4 linked regions of the Sus scrofa genome follow. The protein of the gene in region 3 purifies or fractionates together with the protein of the main gene of each other region. This does not show direct contact. Links are inferred from orthologs where the notes say so. Each region holds a gene or a part of one and is shown on either strand. Other genes may lie near its edges.

The links.
Region 1: the proteins of SYMPK (region 3) and CSTF2 purify together in Homo sapiens (affinity purification with mass spectrometry; 4 studies listed by BioGRID and IntAct, with this or other methods). This does not show direct contact. The link is inferred for Sus scrofa from reciprocal best matches to the Homo sapiens genes SYMPK and CSTF2.
Region 2: the proteins of SYMPK (region 3) and CPSF3 fractionate together in Homo sapiens (co-fractionation; 6 studies listed by BioGRID and IntAct, with this or other methods). This does not show direct contact. The link is inferred for Sus scrofa from reciprocal best matches to the Homo sapiens genes SYMPK and CPSF3.
Region 4: the proteins of SYMPK (region 3) and CPSF4 purify together in Homo sapiens (affinity purification with mass spectrometry; 4 studies listed by BioGRID and IntAct, counting the BioPlex papers as one, with this or other methods). This does not show direct contact. The link is inferred for Sus scrofa from reciprocal best matches to the Homo sapiens genes SYMPK and CPSF4.

The regions. Positions count from the first base shown.
Region 1 is NC_010461.5:82,507,306-82,511,586, reverse strand, and holds the start of CSTF2 (cleavage stimulation factor subunit 2), read right to left. Parts: upstream 2,849-4,281; 5' UTR 2,749-2,848; coding exon 2,691-2,748; intron 1,611-2,690; coding exon 1,532-1,610; intron 1,049-1,531; coding exon 879-1,048; intron 98-878; coding exon 1-97. UniProt on the Homo sapiens protein: One of the multiple factors required for polyadenylation and 3'-end cleavage of mammalian pre-mRNAs. This subunit is directly involved in the binding to pre-mRNAs.
Region 2 is NC_010445.4:126,886,296-126,889,857, forward strand, and holds part of CPSF3 (cleavage and polyadenylation specificity factor subunit 3), read right to left. Parts: intron 3,080-3,562; coding exon 2,904-3,079; intron 1,669-2,903; coding exon 1,510-1,668; intron 221-1,509; coding exon 74-220; intron 1-73. UniProt on the Homo sapiens protein: Component of the cleavage and polyadenylation specificity factor (CPSF) complex that plays a key role in pre-mRNA 3'-end formation, recognizing the AAUAAA signal sequence and interacting with poly(A) polymerase and other factors to bring about cleavage and poly(A) addition.
Region 3 is NC_010448.4:52,149,338-52,152,899, forward strand, and holds part of SYMPK (symplekin), read right to left. Parts: intron 2,781-3,562; coding exon 2,699-2,780; intron 2,528-2,698; coding exon 2,414-2,527; intron 1,436-2,413; coding exon 1,288-1,435; intron 336-1,287; coding exon 175-335; intron 1-174. UniProt on the Homo sapiens protein: Scaffold protein that functions as a component of a multimolecular complex involved in histone mRNA 3'-end processing. Specific component of the tight junction (TJ) plaque, but might not be an exclusively junctional component. May have a house-keeping rule.
Region 4 is NC_010445.4:6,373,220-6,377,219, reverse strand, and holds the start of CPSF4 (cleavage and polyadenylation specificity factor subunit 4), read right to left. Parts: upstream 2,859-4,000; 5' UTR 2,706-2,858; coding exon 2,603-2,705; intron 1-2,602. UniProt on the Homo sapiens protein: Component of the cleavage and polyadenylation specificity factor (CPSF) complex that play a key role in pre-mRNA 3'-end formation, recognizing the AAUAAA signal sequence and interacting with poly(A) polymerase and other factors to bring about cleavage and poly(A) addition.

The sequences.
Region 1 (4,281 bases), on a different chromosome or scaffold from region 3:
AGACTGGCAACTGCTTTGCTAATGGATTCAGGGGCATCCTCGGGACTGATGGTCTCTCCATAAGGTGACTCAATGACAGGGGCACCAGTGCCAAGACCTGATTGGGAAGAAAGTACAAGAAAGTTAAGGAGGCAGTATAAAGAGCTAAACGATTTCAAGTATCTACTCTTTACAGAGTTGCTGTAAGACCCTGTTGATAACTTTAAATTTTCTGGAGCTGAGAAATAAGTGATTTTCAAGTCTCATATTTCTGTGGAGGAAAGTGACAGAGTGTATCTTCTGCTCTCAGAGGAAAGCTGGCACCAGGGTCACAGAAGTGAACAATATTAACTTAAATTAGGGGCTAGGCATATCCATTTCCTTTTACAAATCATTTCATAAGCAAAATGTTTCTTTTTTTTTTTTTTACAATTTTTTTTAATTGTTATTTCCCCAATACAATTTTTTTTTTCTACTGTGACCCAGTTAAAAGGGTTTAATTCTAATTTCAAAATGGAATTTCTGGATTCTGTTACTTCATGAAAAAAAAAGCCACGAGAATGCCTTGGTATCCTTACCAGTTATAGATCTGGTAACATAATTATAGGAGTGGCGGACACTAATGACAGACATAGTTAGCACTACTAACGGCTTCCTGAGCCTGTAATTCATCTTCAGCTGGAAATCAATTCCTTGGTAACGGAAGGTCTTAAGTCAACTTTACTTATTTCTCAAAGGTGTACACTGCCCTAATGCAGGCAGCTCTCAGATGGCTCAAATAAAGATGTTGTGTAGCTGAAAACCATTTCAGCAGATGCTAAAACATATGATTATGTGGCAAATCTCCATTGTTACATCTTTACTAACTCATGTTGCATACAGCTTGGGTTTTTACTCACTCTTCAGCTCCTCTTTGTTCTTTTCGCTGGCAGCATTGTCCACTCGAAGTGCTCTCCCACTGAATTCACGCCCATTTAGGTTTCGCATGGCACTAAGTGCTGTCTCCTGGTCTTGGTATTCACAGAAGCCATAACCCTTTGGTTTTCCTGTCTCCCTATCATATACCAACCTGGAGAGCAGAACCAAGTATCAGGCATGAATGTTATATACATGCAGGTTTTCCACTAACATTGCTGTGTTCTAATGTGGTTTACTTTAAGACAACCTTACTGCTCCGTGTCACTGAAATATTTTTTACACATCTTTCTAAATGGGAAAAAAAGGTAACTTTTAGGAGTTATCTTGTGGCACAGTGGGTTAAGGATCCAATGTTGTCACTGCAGCAGTTTGGCTCACTGCTGTGGTGCAGATTGGATCCCTGGCCTGGGAACTTCCATATGCCAGGGGTGGGCCAAAAAAAAATGTATCTTTTAGCAAAAATGAATGTGAATTATATGGTGTGTGAATTACATCTCAATAAAGCTGTTACAAACAAAAAAGAATTTTTTTGTGCATGTGAAAAGTCACCAATAAAAACTTTGCCATTATTACTAGGGGCCAATTTGTGGTGATTTTTAAGAAATTTCCACCAAGGAGTAAAAGGGGATCTCACCTGAAACTAACAACAGGTCCAACCTCAGAAAAGATGTCCTTTAATTGCTCTTCAGTAGCCTCATAAGGAATGTTCCCCACTAAGGAAGGAAATAGATAATATATTAAAATTCTGAGTTTGTAATCTAGGTCTTTAGTAAGAAAACATTTACATATATCACTGAAAATGTAACAACTGGTTCAAACACAACGTTCCTCCAATCCCGATTCCATTGTACTCTCTTAGACAAGAATTCAATGGTGTCTACTGACTTTAATTACAAGAGGAATAAACCATTGAGACGAAACACAAAAGGTGTATGCCCTAAGTATTAGTTCTTAGACTGAACTGACAGGTGTTACATTTTTCTTAAGTATGGTGAAAATAAATATTTAGGCATTGGTATTTACCTGAAAGTCTGCAAGTCATAAATAACTGCTAAAAATGTCAATATTATAATATATGAAGCCGGCTCCTATGCCAGTATTTCCACATATACACACACTCAAAGGAGAATGACCACGAATGTCGTAGAGGATGTTTAAAAGTTATTCTGAACTATTTTGTCATGTCCCTCCCAAAAGGTGCTTTAAAATCGCCAGATACTTTTAAAAATCAACTTATTTCGGCCTGAAAGATTGCTCAGAATAGACTCGACCCTCTTTAAAATTTCTCTGAATAGGTCTTAATCATTCATTCATTCATTTATTTACAGTTCACCTTAAGACGCCGGGTGGCCACTACCACTAACGACGAACTAAAATGTGAAAAGCAGAGGATGAAAGCCCTTATGAGAGGGCGGGAAGTGGACAGAAAGATCTATATCCTCAGCATATAAACTGTATTCTGGGATAGGGGGTGAGTAGTACGGGGCAGTTGCCATGAGCCCTCGCTTCTATATAATAATTGAGGCTCACGAAAGGAAAACGCATAGAAGCTGAACGCTAGTTTAACTTCCTCGGCCACATCTTGCAAAGGCTTTGAGGCCTCGGGGGAAGGGGAGCATCACTTTGCCCACGAGCCCACCAAGCTGGCCGCCCGACAGGACAGGCAGGTCGAGCGCAAGCCCGACCCATCACCGGCTCCTGCAGCGATTCATGAGATGCAGGACGGCATTCCTCGGCGTTCCCTGTCTTTTTCTCTCCCTCCCGGACGCTTGGATCCACCGAATTCCTCTCACCGAACACCGAACGTAGCGAACGGTCCACCGCAGGGTCTCTCACAGTCAAACCCGCCATCGCTCTCTTCCGGGGGCTTCCGGTGCGCCAGAGCACACTTCCGTACGGCGCATGAGCCCAGCGCCGAACACGCTTCTGTACGGCGCGTGAGCCGGACGCTTCTGAGCCGGCCGGACGCAGGGCCCCTCCCCTGGCGTCATTTCGTCATAGCAGGCGCGCGTCACGTCCAGGAGAGCGCTAACTCCCTCCCGGCTGGGCTCCAGCCTGAGAAAAACTACGTTCCGTGTTGGAGCTCGGCTAATTTGAAGGCTTTTAGTCTGCATAATTCTTTATTGTTCATTATTTTCTTAAGCTAACGCAAGTAATTGTCGACCACAATAACGATGGCGGCGGCGGCGGCTTTACCATGGTAACCGGAAAGTCGATAAACGCTGCGTCCCTTTCCTTTTAGTTCCGCCCTGTTAGGGGAGGGGAAATGCTTGGCCCCGCCCCAGCGGGGTGCATTTTTATCCTTTCTCAAAAGCTCTGTACCCACTGAGGGAGATGAGGAAACAGAGTTACGGCACCCTAGAGAATGAGGGGCACCCAATGCCAAAGCGCCAACATACTGAGAAGATGGGGAGGTAAACACAGAACAGACCCCGTCTGCTCTCTTAGCCTGTGGACTTCACGTGCTTGATGGTGAGGGGGCGAGGCCGTGGAGGATGTTGGCTGGCAGGGCATCAGAAAACATTAGAACAGGAAATGTAATTGGCTAGTAGTACGCAATTAGCAACTAAGTCATGATTTGAGCTCAGCTTGCTTTCGCTCCAGAGGCTGAATGCTTAAGTGCCCACCAGTATAACTCAGAGAATTTAACGACGTAACTCTTTTCTTTCTTTGCCATTTTTGGTTAGAGCTTAAGATTTGGTAATAGTGGATTGATGGCCCAGAATAATGAACCGCTGAAGAATAGGTTGAGGCACTTAGCCAGGGCATGTTCTGCCGTCAGCCATTTGTGGAGAATGGACTGTTGATTCTTTCACTTCATTTAACCACCCCTACTGTTTATAAAAGAAGAGGTATGTAAGGGCTATTTCCTAAGCTCGTGGTGTTTTATAATTGGGTTTCAGTTATAGGCCATGTGCTTGTGACCCCATGCCTCATTGCTATTGTCTATGAGGGTCTTCCCTTCATTGCCATACTCCCAGAGTGACACATTTCTTTTGCCTCCAAGTTGTAGCAGAATGAGGACAGGAGGTATTGACTGTTACTGTTGTAGGTATTATGACTGAACCTCAATTAGAACAATGAAGTAGGTGCTGTATGAAGAGGTAGGGGAAAAACTAGGAAAGATGCATTTCTACATAAATGGGACTATTGTTTTTTGGGGCTTTGAGTAGAAGAGAAAGAGTATGTAGTGGAGAATCAAATAATTGGGAAACCACAGGCAAGATTTGTGGCACATTGACAGAAAAAGTTTTGTGGAGAAGTCCTGAGTTCTTATCCAATTTTGTCGGTGACACTAAGAATATTAGACAATGTAGGAGGTAAAGCACACAGAGACATTCAAGACTGTGAATGCTCTGTGAGGACATAGAGACTTGAGTTCTT
Region 2 (3,562 bases), on a different chromosome or scaffold from region 3:
ATGGGAAGGCCGTGTCTGCTCTCTTGGAGGCCTTCCCCCCAACCAGCGCCGAAAACCAAACGCACAGACTAACCACGTGAGGCGGTTTCAAAGCACGAATGAATTCACTGGTTTGCTGGTAGTCCGTGTGAGCAGAGAAAGAGATGTAATCGACAGACATCTTCAGCGGCAGCTTCTGTCCAGACATGGTAGTGATTTCTTCCGGTTCAGACATGATATGCTGTTAAAAACAAAGAAAGTAAACAAAATAAGACAAACTAGCCAATTAAGGAAGAAAAGGTACATTTTCTACTTTCTCACACACTAAACTCTTAGGCTAACCTAGGACCCGCAGCGCAAAAATCACTCTGACGCGACTGACCTAGTAAATATCCATCAAGCAAACACTGCCTGAGGAAAGGAAGCAGACGAACAAAAATTCAAAGTATTTGGAGTCCTAGAAGTGAAAATTTCAACTCTCGTGGCTAGAAAAATACCCTTATATCCTCAACGATCTGCTCTAAAAAGTCACTTTCCAGGAGGTGGCGTGGCTCAGTGGGTTAAGAGCTTGACTAGTATCCGTGAGGATGCAGGTTTGACCCTGACTTCATTCAGTGGGTTAAGGATCTGGCATTGCCTCAAGTGGTGGCATAGGTCAAAGATGTGGCTCGGATCCAGCATTGCTGCGGCTGTGGTGTGTGGGGGCTGGCAGCTGCAGCTCTGGTTTGACCCCTACCCTGGGAACTTCCATATGTCGTGGGTGTGGCCCTAAAAAAAAACGTCATTTTCCAAGTATGACGATCCCACGAAGGACAAGTGTATTTCTGTTGTGGAAACGGACTTTAAATTCATAGCCAACACTGCCTAAACAACTTACAGAATAAGGTTAAGGTAATAAAAATGATCAAAGCAGAGAATCACAATGTATTTAAAAAATAAAACAGGAGTTCCCATCGTGGCGCAGTGCAAACAAATCCGACTAGGAATCATGAGGTTGCGGGTTCGATCCCTGGCCTTGCTCAGTGGGTTAGGGATCTGGCATTGCTGTGGCTGTGCTCCAGCTCCAATTAGACCCCTAGCCTGGGAACCTCCATATGCTGCACGTGTGGTCCTAAAAAGACAAAAGGCAAAAATAGATAAAGCAGAAGTTGTTGCTGGAGAATGTGATGCGTGTGAAGGTTCAGACATTGCCTCTCAAGTGTGGAAGTTTTGCACATCAATGTCCACATCCCTCGGGGTCAATATCGATCATTTTGTATCAACAGGAAGACGGGCGATCAACTCAAAACGCATTCCCCAGCTTTTCAAGAGAACACAGGCAGAAGTTCCCGGGCCAGGGACTCACACTTTACCACAGCTGCAACCAGAGCCGCAGCAGTGACAATGCCGGAACCTTAACCCACTGTGCCGCCAGGGAACTCCCCAGACCTGTATTATTCAAAGAACTGCTTCCCTGGAAAACCTGGGGGGAGGCTGCCACCTCCGCGGCCTCGATGCGGAATGACAGGACGCTTCAGGGCTCTGACTGACCTTGGCGAGCGTCCCCTCCACACAGTATCCGGCTATAATGACGCCATTCCTCTTATCGGTGCACCAGCTTTCGAAGAGCTCTCTGGATAAGCCGCTCTGCATCATGCCTGGGGAGGCCATTACGACGCTGGGGCCAATGTCATCGAAATGATCCATGCTCTGAGAGAGGAGAGGGAATGGTAAAGCATGCGAACTGCCAGGCTCGGGCAAAAGCATTCTTCCTTACAAAGAAGAGCAGAAAGTGAGCCAAAAGATGAACCTCTCGACTGGAAGGGCCCTGACAAGACTAGCGAACACCTTAAGTCCCGTTTCCAAGTCCCGGAACGGTTGAGGCTGGGAGTGAACGGAAGACAAAATGATGCAAAGCAGTCTGTTCACACTGACCTTCCAAACCTTCCACGACAGCTAAGGGACCACGAGCCCCATTTTCAGTGCCTGCAGGCGGGCAAGCCGGCGGTTAAAGGACCAGTCAGATGGGCTTCTGTCCTCCTAAGACAGACTCTGAAAGACTTCCTCGAGATTCCCACGGCTTCGCTTACTTCCCCAATGTTTTGAGCTACCCTCAAAGTTTATCACTGCTTCCAGGGAAAACCTGGCTCTCTAGTTCCCAGGCAATTAACTTAAAAAGCAAGACTTTACAAATAGCCTATGTATAGCCAGAAAACCACGTATAACTTGAATTATGTGGAGTATCATTTTATTATGATTAGAGCATTACTTTGAATGACATTTTTTTTAATTAAAGAAAATCAGATTTTACTGAATGCGCTAGAGAAGTAAACATGAAAATCTGCATGTATAGAATTTGTAGTGCTAACCGGAAAGATGATTAGCTTTGAGTAAGAAGAGGAAAATATGGCATACCAGACAGTTTTCTCATCGGGACTTTTCACTTCTATGGCAGAAAATTCTATTATTTAGCAACAGTAAACTGGAGAACTTACAGAGAAATGGAACAAGTGGGAACACTGGTTTAAGCAAAAGAGAATGCCAGGAATTCCCACTGTGGCTCAGCGGTAATGAACCTGACTAGTACCCATGAGGATGAGAGTTCGATGCCTGGCCTCGCTCAGTGAATTACGGATCCGGCGTTGCCATGAGCTGTGGTGTAGGTTGCAGACGCAGGGTGCAGATCGGGTGTTGCTGTGGCTCTGGTGTAGGCTGGCGGCTGCAGTTCCGATTCGACCCCTAGCCTGGGAACGTCCACGTGCCGTGGGCGTGGCCCTAAAAAGGAAATAAAAAGAATGCCAGTGGCGGAATAGCTGACTTCCTTCAGAAGAGTGAAGCGTGCTTCAGGTAGGCCAGACTCCAGCAGGGATTCAGACACAGCGTCGCCCCCACTCCTGGGACTCCTGTGTTTTGCCCGCCCTCCCTCTTTCTTCACAAGCGCTCACCTTAAGGTTACTAATGTGCTTGAAAACAAAGGGGTTGTTGATGTTGATCTGCTTGCGGATTTTGTCGTTCATGGCGTTGACATACGTCTGGTACACCGCCATACACTTCTTGGCCAGAGAGGAGGCGTAGTATATTGGAATGTCGTGGAGTTCTGGGTGATTCTGCCAGTACTCATCTGGAGAGATGTGACAAGAAACAAATATTTTGTTGTGTGGGGTCAATGGTTCAAATAATAAGTGCTACATATAATTAACTGTTAAAGATTCAGAGAAGAAAGCAATTAAAGCACATAACTGCATTTTAAAGAGGCTAAGAAAAACTAGCCTCTTCCTAACTTGACCTTGTAAAACCCAAACTCGTTTCCAAGTGTTAATGCATGACCGAAACATCGTGCTCTCGAGCTCCTGCTGTGGTGCAGCGGGTTAAGGAGCTGGTGAGGTCTCTGCAGTGGCTCAGGGCTGCTGAGACGCAGGTTTGACCTCTGGTCCGGCACAGTGGGTTAAAGACCCAGCGTTGCTGCAGCTGTGGGGGAGGTTGGAGCCGCAGCTCATATTCGATCCCTGGCCCAGGACTCCCATATTCTTCAGGCGTGGCCAATGAAAGAAAATAAGAATGTTATGCTCCTGGTCCCAAATGTGGAGATTTTTAAAACCGTTTT
Region 3 (3,562 bases):
TTCTCCTGAGCAGACGGATGTGTGGGCCACCCGCAAGCCACAGAGCTGCTGGGCCTGGGGTGACAACCCTTAGAGCTTAGCAGACACCGAGGAGGAGCTATCGGGGGAAGGGCTGATTTGGGGGTTTAGCCCTGCCCATGCGTGGGCAGAGCCTGGTGGGCTCAGGGGCCTCACCGGCTGTTCGATGACCCTTAGCACAGTCCTCTTGATGTCGGCGATGGCCTCCGTGTATACGGCTGCCAGCTCGTGGATGAGCTTGTGGTTCTGAGGCAGGAGAGCCAGGTAGAGGTACAAACACTGCTTTACTGTCTCCTCGGTCCAGGGCGCTGCCACCTCTGGTAAGGCAGGAGGTGAAGATCAGGTGAGGCCTGCTCCCCTCCCACCCTCAGGGTCTGGTCCTTCTTGGGAGGCAGGCACAGGAGGGAGCTGAGCTGGGAAGCAAAAGTCCCCAGGGCAGGAAGCCTGTCCTCTAGGAGGTGGGGGTGGAAGCGGGACGGCTCCCCTTCCGCAAGTCTCGGCACTCAGTGCCCACCTTGTCTCCTCTGACCACCAGTCCACGAGGCAGCCAGAGAGATCTTCCTAAGTGCAGTTCTGACCCTGTCCCTCTCCTGTTCAGTGCTCCCACAACTGTCCTGTGCTCTCAGGACAAGCCCCCAGATCCTCGCCCTGCTCTACCTGACAGGTCCTGGTCAGGGCAGCCCTGCCTCTGGGGCCCTGCACTCTGGTCACACCCCACTTCAGACAGACCCCAAGGCCTCCACTTTGGAGCCTCTACACGTGCTGCTGTCACCAAGAACACTGCCGCCCAACTCCTCTTGTGGTGCCTCCTCATCCTCTGGGTCTCACACCCTCTGGGTTCCCAACACTCAGGCTGCTCCAGGGCTCCTGTGCTCCTAGAAGGCCCCGTGCTTCCTGCCACAGCCTCCAATTTATGGTCCATCCTCTTGGGGCCAGAGTCTCCCCATCTGGCACACGGAGGACCCAGAGCTCTGCTGAGTGAGTGGGCCTGATATGATCCTGCCTGGAGCTGCATCACTGGCAAGCTGTCCTTGTCCTCGGCTTTCACCCAGCTGTCCCCACACCTCCAGGACCCTCTCCCTGACCCATCAGGCTGGGCCAGGCACCCCCTCTGGGCTCCCACAGACCCCTGATTTTGCCACCCAAAGCCTGCTTGTTTCGGTTACTGCTGTCTAGCTGTCTTCTCTAGCAGGCTCTGACCCCAGGGCCCAGTCCAGAGCCTGGGACGCAGCAGGTGCTCAACACACCCCTGAAGAACCTGTACCAAACCTGTGTCTTTGTCGGCTCCAAACAGCACAGATGGTGGGTTGGGGTGGACCAAGAGCTGCAGGTAGTTGAGGGCAAACTTCTCCACATACTCTCGCAGCTGCTCCTTCTCGTACATGCGCTTGATGAACAGCAAGGCTTGGGAACGTACCTGAGGAGAGAGGAGGGCAAGGTGGTGGAGGGGGCAACAGCTGTCCTGAGCTTGGCAGCCAGTGTGAAAACAAGCCCAAGTCTGAGGAAGGCCTGGCCTAGCTGAGTTACCTGTGCCCAAGACTGGCTTGGGAGGGAGGTTTCCTGGCCCAGCTGAGGGCCCTGCATCACCTCGCCATCTACTTGCCTGGCTCCATTCTTATCACGTCTGGCCCTGCTTGCCCTGCTCCAACCAGGAGCTTTCCTCAGTTCCTCACAAGTGGCGGCCTTCTCCCTGGCACTGAGACTTGGCACACAAAGTTCCCACTGCCTGGACTGCCTGTCGCTGGCTATATCCTGCTGGGAGCCAAGAGGACAGAGCCTGGTCTGGGGCATTGCTTTGTTCCCAGCAGCACCCCAGGGCCGAGCCAGAGTGTGCAGTCAGGGTCTGCTGAATGAACGGACACAAGACACCAGAAAGGAGCGGGTTGAAGGCAGGAGCAGGGATGGTCGCGGGCCCTCTCCATCACACCGAGGCACATCTGACCAGGGCGCAGCCATCTACTCCTACTGCAGGTCTTGGCTCACACGTCCCGACTCCGGGAGGCTTCCTTAAACCACCCCCTCCCCAACCCCCTCGCCAGGGCTTTGCAGTCACACACTACTCCACTCCTGGCACTGAACACATGGTGTCTGCTGGTAGGTCACACTGGCTCCTCCCAGGTCCCAGCACAGTGGGGCCTTAAGAGGGGCGTACAACACAGGCAGAATAAGAGCGAGAACGGGCCTGCCCTGCTTGGGGTGTGAGTATATATATGTGTGTACCTTCTAAGCAGCTTCACGCCATCATAAATGGAAAAACCACCACCACCACCAAAAGACTGTTGTAAGATGCACATTAAGCCCAGAAAGTTTCAGGGGAGTGTGGAAAAGGCTGGGCTGGTTACTCGGGACAGAGGAAGGACTGAGTGGAGCACAGCACAGGGCGGTGGGGGATCACCTTGTCCTTCTCATGCGAGCTGAGGTCTAGCAGGACGTGCAGGTACTGGAACTGACGGGATGGGCGCTTGAAGATCAGGTCTCGAAGAGTGGACATGCCCAGGTAGGTGCGGCTCTGCGGCAGGAAGGAGGGGAACCAGAGCTCAAGGCCCCTGCAGGGCACCACTGGGAGGTCTCCCCTGCCTCAGCCAGACCTGGGACTGGACCAGAGCATCCGGTCCCTCCCAGAACCCCCTGCCTGTACCATGATGCTCGGAGTGGCGGGAGATCTGCCGCCTGTCCTCACCTCATCCTCACAGTACTTGCGAATCACCTCCAGGGCACTCTCCGTGATGAGTGGCGCCTCCAGCACGACCTTGGTGAAGATCCTGCCAGAGAGGGGGGGTAGGGAACGGCTGGCTTCCCTATCCTGCTGATCATAGCTCAGAACTGAAAGTGCCCCCCTCCAACAGCTTGCTCAACCCCCTGGATACAGAGCTCTGGAAGCAACAGAGCAGGGTTCAGACACTGCCAGGTGGGTGTCCTGGGCAGAGACGACCTCTTGGAAACTCAGTTGCTCCCATTTTTCAAATGGAGATTCCTAGCTTGTTTAATATAGCAATGGGAGGGGATGACGGGAGGCTGTTCTTTGAGATGTGGTGACCAGAAAAGGCTGCTTGGAGATAACAGTTGTCAATGCTGGCAAAGGAGAAAGAGCCAGCCACGGAAGAAGTAGGGGGAGAGCATTCCAGGTAGAGCAGAGTGAGTCTATCAGAGGAACAGGAGACTGAAGGCCAGCGAGCTAAAGTTCGGGGGCAGTGAAATGCAGGGAGGCAAAAAAGAGGCTGAAGAGGTTGGCGTGGACTGGATTATACACGGTCTCATAGGACACAGTAAGGAGGTGCATTTTAGCTGAGGACAATGGAAGGTTTTTAGTGGGGAAATAACAAGACACGGTTTACATTTATAAAGTGTCACCTGAGCTGCTATGTGGAGAATGAATAAGCTGGAAATCCAGGACACGGAGGAAGCTACAGAACCGATGTGGGCAAGAGGTGGGGATGGTGAGAAGTCAACCTCGGGAACCAGCCTCCAAAGCAGACGCTGTTACTCGTCATGTATTATATGAGAAAATGGAGGCTCAGAGGGTAAGTGACACAGGTCAGAGAGC
Region 4 (4,000 bases), on a different chromosome or scaffold from region 3:
GGAAATAGAGTGGGAAGAAAATGCAAAGCTCGAGCAAGGAAAATGCTCTTTCTCTCAGCCATTCCTGGCAGAATGAGGCATATATGCTGAGACCAGTCATTACTCAGGGCTTTCGGAGAACCTCCTACAAGCCAGATGCTTTCAAGGAGTTAGGAGTGGTTGGGCGCAGGAAGGATGGAGCCCAAGTGACAGAAATTAATTTCTCCCTGCTCAGACTGTGCAGAGGGTGAATTCAGGGGCACTTGAACCTGAGGCAGGGGGAGGGAATGATCCCACAGGAAGCACAAACAAGCAAACGGGGACCCCGAGGAGGAAGAGGTGGGCGCTCAGAGACCCTCCTGGAGGGAAGAGCATAACTGATGACGCAGGAGCGTGACTGCTCTTAATAAGCGGCAGCAACACACAATTCAATGTTCCACAGATACAGCTGGTTCACGGGAGGGGAGCAGGAGAAGGAAGGCCAAGCACAGAGAAGTCAGTGGGGTGCAGGGCTGTAATAAGGAGCCCAGGAATTCACCCGCCATGGCCACCAGGAGAAAGCATCTGTGGCTTCAGTTTTCTCTATCAGTGGGCATTTTAGAAATGCTCAAAACCCACCACGAGCATCTCTTACGTGTCTTCCCCTGCAAACTTTCAAGAGCTCTATTGGCTTCTTAGAAGCAGGTCTATTTTGCTAGGACAGATTTAAGGTTACAGAAGTGGGCGTCAGAGGTGTGCATTTCAGAAAAGTCCGAGAAGTCTTACATTAAAAAATCTTTTAAGGAGTTCCCCTCGTGGCTCAGCGGAAATGAATCTGACTAGGAACCATGAGGCTGCTGGTTCAATCCCTGGCCTCCCCCAGTGGGTCAAGGATCTGGCATTGCCGTGGCTGTGGCACAGGACAGCAGCTATAGCTATGATTCAAACCCTAGCCTGGGAATCTCCATATGCCTCGGGTGCAGCCCTAAAAAGAAAAAAGAAAAGAAAAAAAAAAAAAGTTATCATTTAAGAGTACTTTGAGCCTTCGTTCTTTTCAGAGGTTTAAGGTTGTTTTATTCCTTAAATGCCAAAGTCCACAGTGCTGGGGACGGGGTCTGAGGCGGACATGATAAAGAAATGTGCCTTCAGGACAGAACCCATAGATCCTTCTTGTATTAAGACAGAAATCAAGTGCAAGGACGAGGGGGAGGAAGGGCTGTGGCCTCCCTGGGCTCTGACACACTGACCGTGATCTCGGGCAGGCGGTGAGTGCTGAGGCCCTGGGCTGGGGCAGTACCTGTGGCTAGGCAGGTCCTGGACCCTCTCCAAGCACAGATCTGAGGGCCCCTCACCGCTGCACCTGCCCTCCCGGGCTCAGGTATCTGTGGTTCCAGGCTGGAGGGCGGAGGGAGAAAGAGCTGCCCAGTATGGATGGTTCCTTGGTCTCGAGCTAGTGCCATCAGCAGAGGAAGAGGCCACGGGTGTGAGGGTAGATGTCTGTGTATAAGCATGAAGTGATCACCTGCACTGACCGGTTTAAGGGTCTGGGCAGCGGCTTGTAAGCCGTATGCAGTGGAGACAGCGTTTGTATGTGTATAGAAAGTAACTGCTGCTAAAGGTACGTCTCTTGTGTACATGCATTATCTTATACAGAAACGTCAGCGTAAGAGGGACAACTCAGAGGTCACACGTGCATGAGAAGTGTGGCCACTTGAGGGGAATGAGGCCGCAGGGAGGCTCCGCTAGTCCAGGGACAGGTAGGAGAATGTGGCACTGTGGTCCATGTCCTCTGGCAGTTAGGGGGACGGCACAGGGAGCCACAGATAGAAGGGTCAAGAAGCCTGGCGAGCTCATCTGGCTCCATCAGGCGCTGAGCAGTCTTTGGCCAGTCCCTTCCCCAGCCCAGGGCTCAGGTGCTTCATCTGTGGCTTGAACTCAATGACTGACCCCTAAGAGCCCTCTGAGCTTTAACTTACAGCATTAAATTTCAAGTATCTCTGAGAAAGAAAGAGGAAAAGATAACTGCCGCCACGTGAAGAGGGAGAGTGAAGGACACTTGGGCGGCTGCCTGGGTGTGAGGAATGACCCAGAGGTGGGGTCCAGAGAAACAGTGAGGAATGGGCTCCCAGGAGCGCGAGTCCTAGGAGAAAAACGGAGCTTGAGCGCCTCATTGGGGGTCTCCTACAGAGTAAGGGGTGGGTCCTTCCCTCTGCAAGACTCTCCCAACGGCCCGGTTTTGATGAAAGCAAGAAGAGACCGCCCAAAGTGGGGGGCTGGAAATGGGGAAAGGGGATATCTTGGTACTTTTCTGTAGTTGGGGAGCGTGTTCGAGTGGGGGCAGTATTTCCAATACACGATACCCGCTTTCATTCAAGAATTATTTGATGGGCGGGACGTGGTCCTGCCCTAGCCTTAGGCTAGCTCTCAGGGGTCGAAGATCGGGGAAGAGGGGCTCCTTAGTCCAAATGACGGGAGAAGGTGGGGTGGGGGTCCCAGGATTTGGGGAAAGCAGTCCCAGGACCGAGGGGGAGGAGCTCCCGAACTGAGGGGCAGGGCGTCCTGGAACTACAGCGGCGGGGGTGGGGGGGGGGTCCCGGAGCCAAGTCCATCGCGCCCTCGCCCTCCTCCCGGACCCTGCGCTCACTGTCCATGCCGGGGAAGGGCAGCGGCTGCGCTCCGAGCTGCTGCTCCACTGCGATCTCCAAGTCGAACTTGATATGGTCCACGCTGGCGATGATTTCCTGCATGGCGGCGGCGGCGGCCACACCGGCCCGGCTCCCGCTCAGGTTCCTCGTCTCCCTCACACCTCTACCCGCCGCAGACCCGCCGCACACTGTCCTCCGCCGCCTCGCCGCTGCCGCCAACACCGGCGCCACCGCCGCCGCCGCCCAAGGGATGCCGGGAGCACCCAGAGCCCGCGCCAGCCCTTTCGCTCCAGACCGGGCCAATCAAGCGCAGAGTACAGGCGGCTCTGCTAGGCCCGGCTAGCCGCTCGCCGAACTCTCACCTCTCCTCGCCGCTGCCGGCGACCAAGAAACCTAGCGCGCCAGGAGTTCGCGACGGAGACTGCGCCTGCGCGAGGTCGGCCGAGGCGCTCCTCTGGGAAGGCGGTGGGGACGGTGAGCCGGGGTTCGAGGCGCGGCTGGGATGGCGCTAGGGGTGACGCGGGACGGGCGCGGGGCAGGGGGCGCGGGCGGAGACCGAGGTGGGCCGCGTTCACTGGGCCGCAGTCCTGGGGCGAGTGCCTGTTTGACTCTCACAGGAGCCCGGGCCCCGGGTCGGGACGGGCCAGAGGGTCAGCGAGGGTCGCAGCCAGGGTCGGAGCCGTTGGGTCGGCTGAGGAAACAGAGGATCGAGGGGAGCCTGGGAGAGGGGTCAGCTTGAGGGTCTCCGGGCGTCTGGGGAGCGGCGGGGCCCCGTGTCTGCAATACGGTTTATTAATCTGGGCAGGTGGGGAGAACGAAATTGCCCCTTTCACGACTGACCGAGGGGCGTTCGCTGTGCCCAAAGGATGTCGTGGTTTCAAGTAGGGATGAGTGTAATGATGGTTGGAGACAGGGTCTTTGCAGCTACTACAGACTTTTTTTATTTTATTTTAATTAAAAAATTTTTTTTTAATTACTTTTTTTTTTTTTTTTTTTGTCCTTTGCCCTTTTAGGGCCTCACCTGCGGCCTATGGAGGATCCCAGGCGAGGGGTCTAATCGGAGCTGTTGCTGCCCGCCTACACCACAGCTCACGGCAACGCGGGGTCCCCAACCCATTGAGCGAGGCCAGGGATCGAACCCGCAACCTTATGGTTCCCAGTCTGATTCGTTTCCTCTGTGCCACAACAGAAACTCCTGCTACAAACTTTTATACTGTTTTAAGATGACGATCCGACGTTGTTATTTAATGGTTGAAAAAGAAGCATTTATTTGAGTAAGCATGTTTAAAAAACATGGGGGCACCTATTTCAATATCGGTAATTAAAATTCTGTGTTTTAATTCATGTATGTAAACACTTTCTTTACTGTGGGTACTTGAAAATTTTAAGTTACGTAC